2 linked regions of the Macaca mulatta genome follow. The protein of the gene in region 1 binds, or shares a complex with, the protein of each later gene. Links are inferred from orthologs where the notes say so. Each region holds a gene or a part of one and is shown in the gene's direction. Other genes may lie near its edges. The genes, in order: CDK5R1 and CDK5.

Region 1 (4,495 bases):
CCCATTCTGTTCCCCCTAGGGCAGTTGACAGGGCTGGTGCAGGGTGAAAGCCTAGTGGGCCAGAGTGGTCAGGTAATTGGGTGTCATCCTCTCCTCTGGAGTGCCACTACATCATCTCTAGGTCCAGAGATGATCTGGATTAAGACAGGGCTTAAGTCTCCTGTTTCCCAGGTTTGTGGTCAGTTTTGACTCAATCTCCAGAAACAAGGTAAAATAGTAAATGAACAACGGCCTTTGTGAAGGATCTGGATTCACATCCGACAGGAACAGCTCTTTGAGAACCAGAATTTTACTCAATTTCGCTAGCATCAAGTTCTTAAATTATACATACTTAGAACTGAAAACGTTTAAGAGGGTCAGAAAGCTGGCCAGAGGGGCAGTTGCTTCAGCTTTAATACAACAAAGAGGGCGAGTGGGAACTTCGAGGTCATATTTGTGACGGGCTCAGGCTTGGCTCTTGGTGGCCCGGAACTGCTACGGGCCACGCTTCTCTGGCTTGGATTTCTGAGGCCCACTCGGGCCACGGGCATCTACCCCGGGATGAGGGAACGGAGGCCCCAGAAGGGTGGCCAGAAACGATGGGACTGTCCACTCGAGGTGCGCCTGGCACTTGGGAGGTCTCAGTAAAGGCTTCGCCTCTCCCCGCCCAGGGCCTTCTTTCCCGCGCTCCCTGGCTGCTTTCCACAGGGACGGGGATGTCAGGTGGAAGGAGGGAGCTACCGGCCCTGGCCTCGGCGGAGGGCTCCTCACCAGGGCCCGGGCGGCAGCCTCCGAGAGGGCGGGCCGCGCGCTGCCAGGGCAGGACTCGGCCGAGAGCGCCCCCGCGGCCGGCAGCTGCGGGCGCCGCGGCGGGAACAAAGACAGCACGTGTCTGGGCGGGGCGCGGGCGGGGTCGGCCCTCAGCCCCGCCCTGCTCGGCGCCCGCCGAGCGTCAGCAGAGTTGGGCTGCGCGGGCGCCCGGGACTCTCAGGCGGCCGGGCTGCTGTTGGGCGGCGGCGCGGAGCCGGCGGCGAGCTGTGCGGGAGGGGCGGTCCCGAGGGGCGGGGCGGGCCGGCGCCGCGTGTCCCGCCGCCGCCGCCGAGTCCGGCTCCTAGATGGGGCCCGGTGCGTAGAGGTGCCTCCCGCTCGTCGCCGCGTCCTACCTGCACCGTGCGCGGCTCGAGCTGAGGACATCAACGGCCGCAACTCCCCGGCGAGACCAGGCCGGCGCGTGGACTGCGCGCGCGCCCCGCGAGGGAGGGCGCTGAGGCGCGCGCCGGGAGCGGGAGCGGGAGCGCGGCGGCGGCGGCAGCGGCGGCGGCGAAGGTGCGGGCGGCCGAGCCGGGGGGCGGGGCCGCGGCGCCTGCAGAACCTTGGACAGAAGCTGCCGAGCCGCAGCCGCCGCCGCCGCCGCCGTCGCCGCCGCCGAGCGCGGGCACAGCCGATCCCCGCCGAGCGCTCCCGAGCGCCGGGACCGCGGCGGCAGAGCCGCGGCGCGCATTGCGGAGGGCGCGGAGCGCAGGAGCTGCCGCCTGCCGGGTAAGCCTGCGCTGGGCGGCCGTCCTTGGCCCAGAGGAGCCGGGCCCGGGTCGCGCCCGTGCGGGGTGTCCAGGCGGGGGTCTTCGTCCGCCTCCGTCGGCGCCCGGGCCCCTCCCAGCTGCGCTTGGGGACCGCAGCGGCGGCGGCGGGCGGGGGTGCTGCAGTGGAGGCGGCGAGGCTGCGGCGCGGGGGCGCGGGGCCGCGGGTAGGGCCCGGGACTGGGGCCGCGGGGTCCGCGGAGGCGCGGGGCGGAGGGGCGCGGCGCGGAGCCCAGCTTGGCGCTAAGAACCATCTTGTTTTCCAGGCAGATCCAAGGGGGCAGCACGCTTCCCGGGAGCGCCCCCGCCTCCTCCCCGGGGCCACCGCAGGCTCCGTGAGTGGTTTTATCCCTCCGGCCGGCAGGCTGGGCGCGCAGGGGCGCGAGCCCCCGCCCGGCGCGCAGCGGCACCATGGGCACGGTGCTGTCCCTGTCCCCCAGCTACCGGAAGGCCACGCTGTTTGAGGATGGCGCGGCCACCGTGGGCCACTATACGGCCGTACAGAACAGCAAGAACGCCAAGGACAAGAACCTGAAGCGCCACTCCATCATCTCCGTGCTGCCTTGGAAGAGAATCGTGGCCGTGTCGGCCAAGAAGAAGAACTCCAAGAAGGTGCAGCCCAACAGCAGCTACCAGAACAACATCACGCACCTCAACAATGAGAACCTGAAGAAGTCGCTGTCGTGCGCCAACCTGTCCACATTCGCCCAGCCCCCACCGGCCCAGCCGCCCGCACCCCCGGCCAGCCAGCTCTCGGGCTCCCAGACCGGGGGCTCCTCCTCGGTCAAGAAAGCCCCTCACCCTGCCGTCACCTCCGCAGGGACGCCCAAACGGGTCATCGTCCAGGCGTCCACCAGCGAGCTGCTGCGCTGCCTGGGTGAGTTTCTCTGCCGCCGGTGCTACCGCCTGAAGCACCTGTCCCCCACGGACCCCGTGCTCTGGCTGCGCAGCGTGGACCGCTCGCTGCTTCTGCAGGGCTGGCAGGACCAGGGCTTCATCACGCCGGCCAACGTGGTCTTCCTCTACATGCTCTGCAGGGATGTTATCTCCTCCGAGGTGGGCTCGGATCACGAGCTCCAGGCCGTCCTGCTGACGTGCCTGTACCTCTCCTACTCCTACATGGGCAACGAGATCTCCTACCCGCTCAAGCCCTTCCTGGTGGAGAGCTGCAAGGAGGCCTTTTGGGACCGTTGCCTCTCTGTCATCAACCTCATGAGCTCAAAGATGCTGCAGATAAATGCCGACCCACACTACTTCACACAGGTCTTCTCCGACCTGAAGAACGAGAGCAGCCAGGAGGACAAGAAACGGCTCCTCCTAGGCCTGGATCGGTGAGCACTGTAGCCTGCGCCATGGCTCAAGGATTCAATGCATTTTTAAAAATTTATTATTAAATCAGTTTTGTGTACAGTATGTGTCTAGCAAAGCCACCAAGGGCCTCACCTTTCCCACAGTCTCTCCCTGGGGTTTTTTCAGCCCTGCCAAGAACTCTGGGCACTTTTGAACTCACGAGCCTTGCGCAAAACCCAGAAGATGTATTCGGAGCCACCCAGGCCACTGACCTCCCACTTTGGGGAACTCAAAGAACTGACCTGCCCCTGCCGCCTGTGCCCTTGCTGGGTCCAGGGTAGGCGAGGCTGCCGGCTGCACCCTGTATGGCGCTAGAGAGGGGACTCTGGCTGCCTGACCCAGGGAGGAATTGGGGTTTCTGGTTGGAGGCCCTTTTCTGGCTCCTGTGTGGAGTTACTCGCTCTCCCAGAGGCTCCTGGAGCCATCCACCCTAACTGAGCTGCCAGTGGGGTCATGAGGCAGGATCCCCGCTGCGCTGGGACATCTTCAATCTAGGCGAGGCGAAGCTGAGCAGGTCTAGTGGAAAGACTGTGTCTGGTCGTTTGACCACACACCGCCCTGATTTGCTGTTTTCTTTTTTAGGGAGAAGGGCTTTCCTTTAGTGGAGAAATGGAACTCGCCCGTTGCCCCCTTGTCTGCTGCTCACAGCCGCATTGCTGGTATTGGCCGATGAGCTGCTTTGACTCGTTACTTTTTCTCATTTTGGGTCCCAGCTAAAGAGGTGGGGTGAAGCTGGAGACGACTTTCCTGGGTGAATTTTTCTTTTGAATAATGCAGTGCAGTCGCCCTGTGGCAAATGCCAGGACAGCTGCAGGTGCCCATTAGCAACGCCTGCCTTCTGGGCAAGGTGAGGGATGCCATACCTTGAGACCAAGCCGGTGCCCACCTAAGGGCTAAGGCCTCTTGCTGGTGCACATGACATTTGTCCTGCAGAGCTGGGGGGAAGGCGATGTGGTGGCCCCACCCCCACCCCTGTTAATTTAAAGCTGTTTCCAAACAGTTGAGTTTCTTCTAAAGAGGAAGACTTGCCCTACAGGGACCAGTGAGACAGCTGGATCTTGGAGACAATTACAAGACGGGAGTGAGACTCCTGATTGCTCTGGAAGCCTGCTGATTTCTACAACTGATCATTTGCCGCTGCTGGTTTTGGTTTCCACCTTCCCCTACTGGCTGTAAAAACACAAATGTGTACTTTATTGATTTTCTTTCTCATTCTCCCGTATTGGTGGCTTGGGACTTGGGAGAGGGAGCAAGCCTTCCTCCATGGCCCGTCACTCTGCTGTGGAGAACAAAGACCAATGTGAAGACGCTACAGAGGATTCTGTCTTCCAGGCCCAGTCCCCCCGGGAGTGCTGGAATGGGGACCTGGGGTGGGGAGGCAGAGGGTCACTTTACATAGGATTAGGTTCAAGGTGGTTACCAATTTCAGCACAAGCACTACTGAAATTTACACAAAAAGAAAGCTGTGAAATTGAAGTCCCAGTGTTAAGAGTCCTGAAGCAGAACCTGGTGGCCGGAGGCATTCCCAGAGGTGGGGAAGAGAGCCTGCCCTGCCGGAGAGCAGCTGCCTGGCTGCACCTGAGGCCCAG
Region 2 (4,355 bases), on another chromosome or scaffold:
GTATCGGGATTGAGATTCTCTTGCGGCCCCCCTCCCAAATAACCCCCGTGCCTCCAAGAAAGCCCCTGAGGGACGGTGGCGAGCAGGTGAGAAGGGTGACAGCGGCTGGAAGCTGGCTGCCCAGTACCCTGAGCTGATCTGGGAGAGGGCAACTTGTTAGGGGCTCCCCACTTCCTGAGAGGGACAGAGATTCGCTATGGTGGCCTCCTTCCTCTTGAATGGAACCTCCACACTGAATCGAACCCTAGTCATAGTCATCACTTATCATTCAAGACCTGTGTGTAGTTCTTGTTTGCCCAACGAAATCACAAAGTCTTCCAGATAAGGAATGTACTTTTCGCTTCTTTTCTCTTGTGTATGCAAAAGCATTCAGATAGAAACGAGTTAATTAACACGTGTTTGGCAGTAACTCTGGTTCCGGTGCCGAGGAGTGCTGTTTGGGATCCTTTTCCCTCGGTCCGTAGCCCTCAAGAATGCAATCATGAGACAATTAGAGAGGCAGCGCAAGGGAATCTATAATCAACTCCTTTAAGGGATGAGGTAGAGGCTGCTGCAAGTTGAGCATCGGTCTGTGGTCTTGTCTGTGGAGGGGGTTAACCAACCTGCCGGCCACACCCTGGCTGACTCCAGTGGGCCCCGTTCCGGAGACTGGGGTCTGGGGGGACCTCCAGGGCTCCACCCAGCTTTTCTCAGCATGTCAGAGTTCAGCGGCTGGAGTCGGGTGGGCTCCGAGACAACAAACGGGGCCCAGCAGAGAGAGGGGTCTTTGGCGTGTGTCCCTCCACTAAAATCCAGCCTCAAAGGGGCACAGCTGTTCTCTTCCCAGCCCTGCGGTCAGCTGTTCCCTGTGAGGTCATCATCGCTCACATGCATTCCCCAGTGAATCCTGGTGTCACTAGGTGGCTTGGGGAGAGGTGGAGGAAACCCGTGCTGAGGTCGTCAAGAGGCCGTTGGGAACTCAACGCCACCAACCAGGTCAGAGCTGGGCCGCCAAGGCTCGGGATCTAGGCCGCCAAACCCCAAACCCCTAACCGAGAGCGCTCCGCCCCCATCCCCGCTGCATTCTGGAACGCGTAGTCCCGGAGCAGCCCTTTTCAAGAAGGCTGGGAGCACATAAAAGGAATAACAACAGCGGGGCACGCTGGGAACCGCGGCGCCGCGGCGGGGCGCCCGGAAAACGGACACGCGTTGCTCCCTGGGACTTGAAGTCCAGGGTTTTGCCTCCGCGGTGGAACCGGAGCCCTGGAGTCGAGTGCTGCAGAGAGCGTGAGCGCAGACGGCTGGGGTTTGTAGTCTTCTTGTCCTCGGTCTCGGGCACTGCGGGGAGACCTTGTTGTCTTAGGACTACAAGCCCCAGAAGGTACTGCGCGGCCAGGCGGGGCGGGGCTGGAGGCTCGGGTGCCGCCTCCTCTGCAACGCCGGGGCCAGAGTCTTAAAACCGAGGGCCCGCAGGGGTCCCCGCGGCCGCCGCGATGCAGAAATACGAGAAACTGGAAAAGATTGGGGAAGGTAATGGAATCTCAAGATGTTCCTGCAAGAGCCCCTCTGCAGATCCTTCGGCATTCCTTGCAGCCCTGGCTCCGTTACCGTCAGCAATACCTACAGGCTCCGACCTCAGCAGCGGCTGCAGCCCTGGCCCCCGAGCTCAGCACTCCGTGCAGACACCAGTCTTCCCCGTGTTAGCATTTCCCGCAGGCTCTCACTCCAACCTTAGCGTTCCCAGTAGACCCGACCTCCCAACCGCGACACTTCCTGAATTTCTCACCCCAGCCTCAGCACCACTTGGACAACCTCACCCCGAGCCCCAGCCTCGGTTCTTGCTGCAGACCTCCAACCTCAATATTTCTGCAGCCCGTCAGTCCTCTCCCAGGCCCCTCCTCACCATTTCCAGACCCTTCCGGAGCACCGCCTTCATTTTAGACATCCTTGCCCTCGCAGCCGCACTCGCCCCTCCTGCTGAGCCCCTGGAGCCTCCGCGGGCACCTTCTCCTCCCTCCTCACCTGCCACATCCTCACTCACAAAGCTCACCCACCTACCTTCACCCTGAATCCCTTTCTTTGCATATTCAGACGCTGCCTTCACCTCCCGGGAGGCATTTCCTGGCTTAGGGAAGAGTGCCGCATCCTCCCCCTGACCCCTGACCTCCTTCCCCTAGGCACCTACGGAACAGTGTTCAAGGCCAAAAACCGGGAGACTCATGAGATCGTGGCTCTGAAACGGGTGAGGCTGGATGACGATGATGAGGTAGGACTGGGGACTGAGATAGGGCCTGGAGAGGGGGTTGAGGGCCTGGGCTGGGTGGGATCTGACTGCTGCCCACCCGGCCCCCTCACATATGCAGGGTGTGCCGAGTTCTGCCCTCCGGGAGATCTGCCTACTCAAGGAGCTCAAGCACAAGAACATCGTCAGGTGTGCGGGAGGCGGGTGCTCCTTGCCGGTGTGGCCGCTTGGGGGAGGCGGGGGCTGACACTGGACGTCTGTCAGGCAGACCTGCATGGCTGAGCCCTTCTTTTGCCCTAGGCTTCATGATGTCCTGCACAGTGACAAGAAGCTGACTTTGGTTTTTGAATTCTGTGACCAGGTGAAAGGCGGGGTTTGGGGGACAGTAGCCTTGGGAAGGTATAGGGGCCCAGACTGAGGTTAAACTCTGTCCCATTCCCCCACTCATATCCCTTTTCAGGACCTGAAGAAGTATTTTGATAGTTGCAATGGTGACCTTGATCCTGAGATTGTAAAGGTGAGGAGAGTGGTGTTGGGGGACCCCTCAGGCTGGGGTCAGAGTCTGCATTCAGTGTAAGCACTCCTTGGGCTCTAACTTTGGGCCCTGAACAGGGACGCTCTGGGATGTCAGAGAATGAGAAAACCCTGTTTCTGCCCTCTAGGAGCCTCCAGTCTTAGCAAACATTTTCACGTGGTCGTCTTTGACCCACACAGTGGCACTCTGACGTCAGTGATAGTATTTACATTCAGAGATGAGAAAATGAGGTTCAAGGAGATACACTCATTCATTCAATACATACTTACTGAATGCTTCACTGTGTGCCAGGTGCTCTTCTAGGCCCAAGACCAAATGTCTTGGTCCAGGTTCCAGGGGAGCCAGTCCTGAATGATACTACAGCATGATATTTATGTGCTGTAGTATCGTGTGCATACTCAGATGCCGCCAGGAAGGGAAGATCAGCATGGGCTAGGATCTAGGCGGGATCTAGGATCCACCTGGCAAGGCCCATTAGGCTATATGGTCCAGGAAGATGGGGACCAGGGCCAGTTTCTTCACTCTTGTCCCTCTAATGCCTAGTACAGTATAAAGCAGGTTCTGGATGGCGAATGAATGGTGTCACTCTGAACCAAGTGCTGAAAGGTGGGTGGGGTGGAGTGAAGCACAGGGTGAGGAGAGGAGCCACCCATTGCTGGGCACAGTTGCATGTTCAGGGCGTCTGACTCCCTTCTGCCTGCTCTCCTCCCAGTCATTCCTCTTCCAGCTACTGAAAGGCCTGGGATTCTGTCATAGCCGCAATGTGCTACACAGGGACCTGAAGCCCCAGAACCTGCTAATAAACAGGGTACTTCTTGGGAAGAAGGTGGGGAGTGGGAAGCCTGGGGCCAGGGCATGGGGAGCACGGAGGGAAGAGGACTGGGAGGATGGAGTCTGTGCTGTCCCAAGGCTGCCTAAAGGCCCTTCTCCATGTCCCCTTCCCATTCCCCTCAGAATGGGGAGCTGAAATTGGCTGATTTCGGCCTGGCTCGAGCCTTTGGGATCCCTGTCCGCTGTTACTCAGCTGAGGTGAGCTAGGAGATGGGATATGGGATTGGGGGAGGGAGTCCCTCAGCTCCAACCTCAGGACCCAAAACACTATTTTCCTCTCCTCTCTGAGCCTCCTCCTCAAACCTCCTCCCCAGCCCTCTAAGTGGGAGTCCCCTGTCGGGGGGCGGTCTCCTCCAGGTGGTCACACTGTGGTACCGCCCACCGGATGTCCTCTTTGGGGCCAAGCTGTACTCCACGTCCATCGACATGTGGTCAGCCGGCTGCATCTTTGCAGGTGACGTGCTGGGGCGCTCCAGAGGCACCTTCTTTCCCATTTGGGTTGACAAATAGGGTCTGAAGGGTTCCCTCTAGGGGAAGGGAGGGAGGCTCTGGGACTGGGGCTGGAAGGTCAGGGGGCACCTCAGAGTGAGGGGTCCTTCACATGTCACATCTTATCCCCCTATCTGCCCCCCAGAGCTGGCCAATGCTGGGCGGCCTCTTTTTCCCGGCAATGATGTTGATGACCAGTTGAAGAGGATCTTCCGATATCCTTGTTTTCCTCTGCCTTGAGCCCTCTGGGAGGGGACAGCCCATGGAGTTTTGAGTGCA

Evidence for each region.
Region 2: the proteins of CDK5R1 (region 1) and CDK5 are in contact, whole or in part, in a crystal structure (PDB 3O0G), measured with the Homo sapiens proteins. The link is inferred for Macaca mulatta from reciprocal best matches to the Homo sapiens genes CDK5R1 and CDK5. Residues at the interface, in NP_003876.1 of Homo sapiens: Trp190, Gln193, Thr197, Pro198, Ala199, Phe203, Tyr231, Leu232, Ser235, Tyr236, Met237, Gly238, Asn239, Glu240, Ile241, Ser242, Tyr243, Pro244, Leu245, Lys254, Glu255, Trp258, Asp259, Cys261, Leu262, Ile265, Asn266, Ser269, Ser270, Met272; in NP_004926.1 of Homo sapiens: Leu37, Asp38, Glu42, Gly43, Pro45, Ser46, Ser47, Leu49, Arg50, Ile52, Cys53, Leu54, Lys56, Glu57, Val69, His71, Leu76, Arg120, Asn121, Val122, Leu147, Arg149, Ala150, Phe151, Gly152, Ile153, Pro154, Arg156, Cys157, Tyr158.

What each region holds. Positions count from the first base shown.
Region 1 is NC_133421.1:42,047,587-42,052,081, forward strand, and holds the start of CDK5R1 (cyclin-dependent kinase 5 activator 1), read left to right. Parts: upstream 1-1,440; 5' UTR 1,441-1,518; intron 1,519-1,822; 5' UTR 1,823-1,967; coding exon 1,968-2,891; 3' UTR 2,892-4,495. UniProt on the Homo sapiens protein: p35 is a neuron specific activator of CDK5. The complex p35/CDK5 is required for neurite outgrowth and cortical lamination. Involved in dendritic spine morphogenesis by mediating the EFNA1-EPHA4 signaling. Activator of TPKII.
Region 2 is NC_133408.1:190,485,595-190,489,949, reverse strand, and holds the start of CDK5 (cyclin-dependent kinase 5), read left to right. Parts: upstream 1-1,402; 5' UTR 1,403-1,472; coding exon 1,473-1,509; intron 1,510-2,156; coding exon 2,157-2,245; intron 2,246-2,342; coding exon 2,343-2,410; intron 2,411-2,521; coding exon 2,522-2,582; intron 2,583-2,681; coding exon 2,682-2,738; intron 2,739-3,468; coding exon 3,469-3,564; intron 3,565-3,710; coding exon 3,711-3,785; intron 3,786-3,944; coding exon 3,945-4,041; intron 4,042-4,221; coding exon 4,222-4,291; intron 4,292-4,355. UniProt on the Homo sapiens protein: Proline-directed serine/threonine-protein kinase essential for neuronal cell cycle arrest and differentiation and may be involved in apoptotic cell death in neuronal diseases by triggering abortive cell cycle re-entry. Interacts with D1 and D3-type G1 cyclins.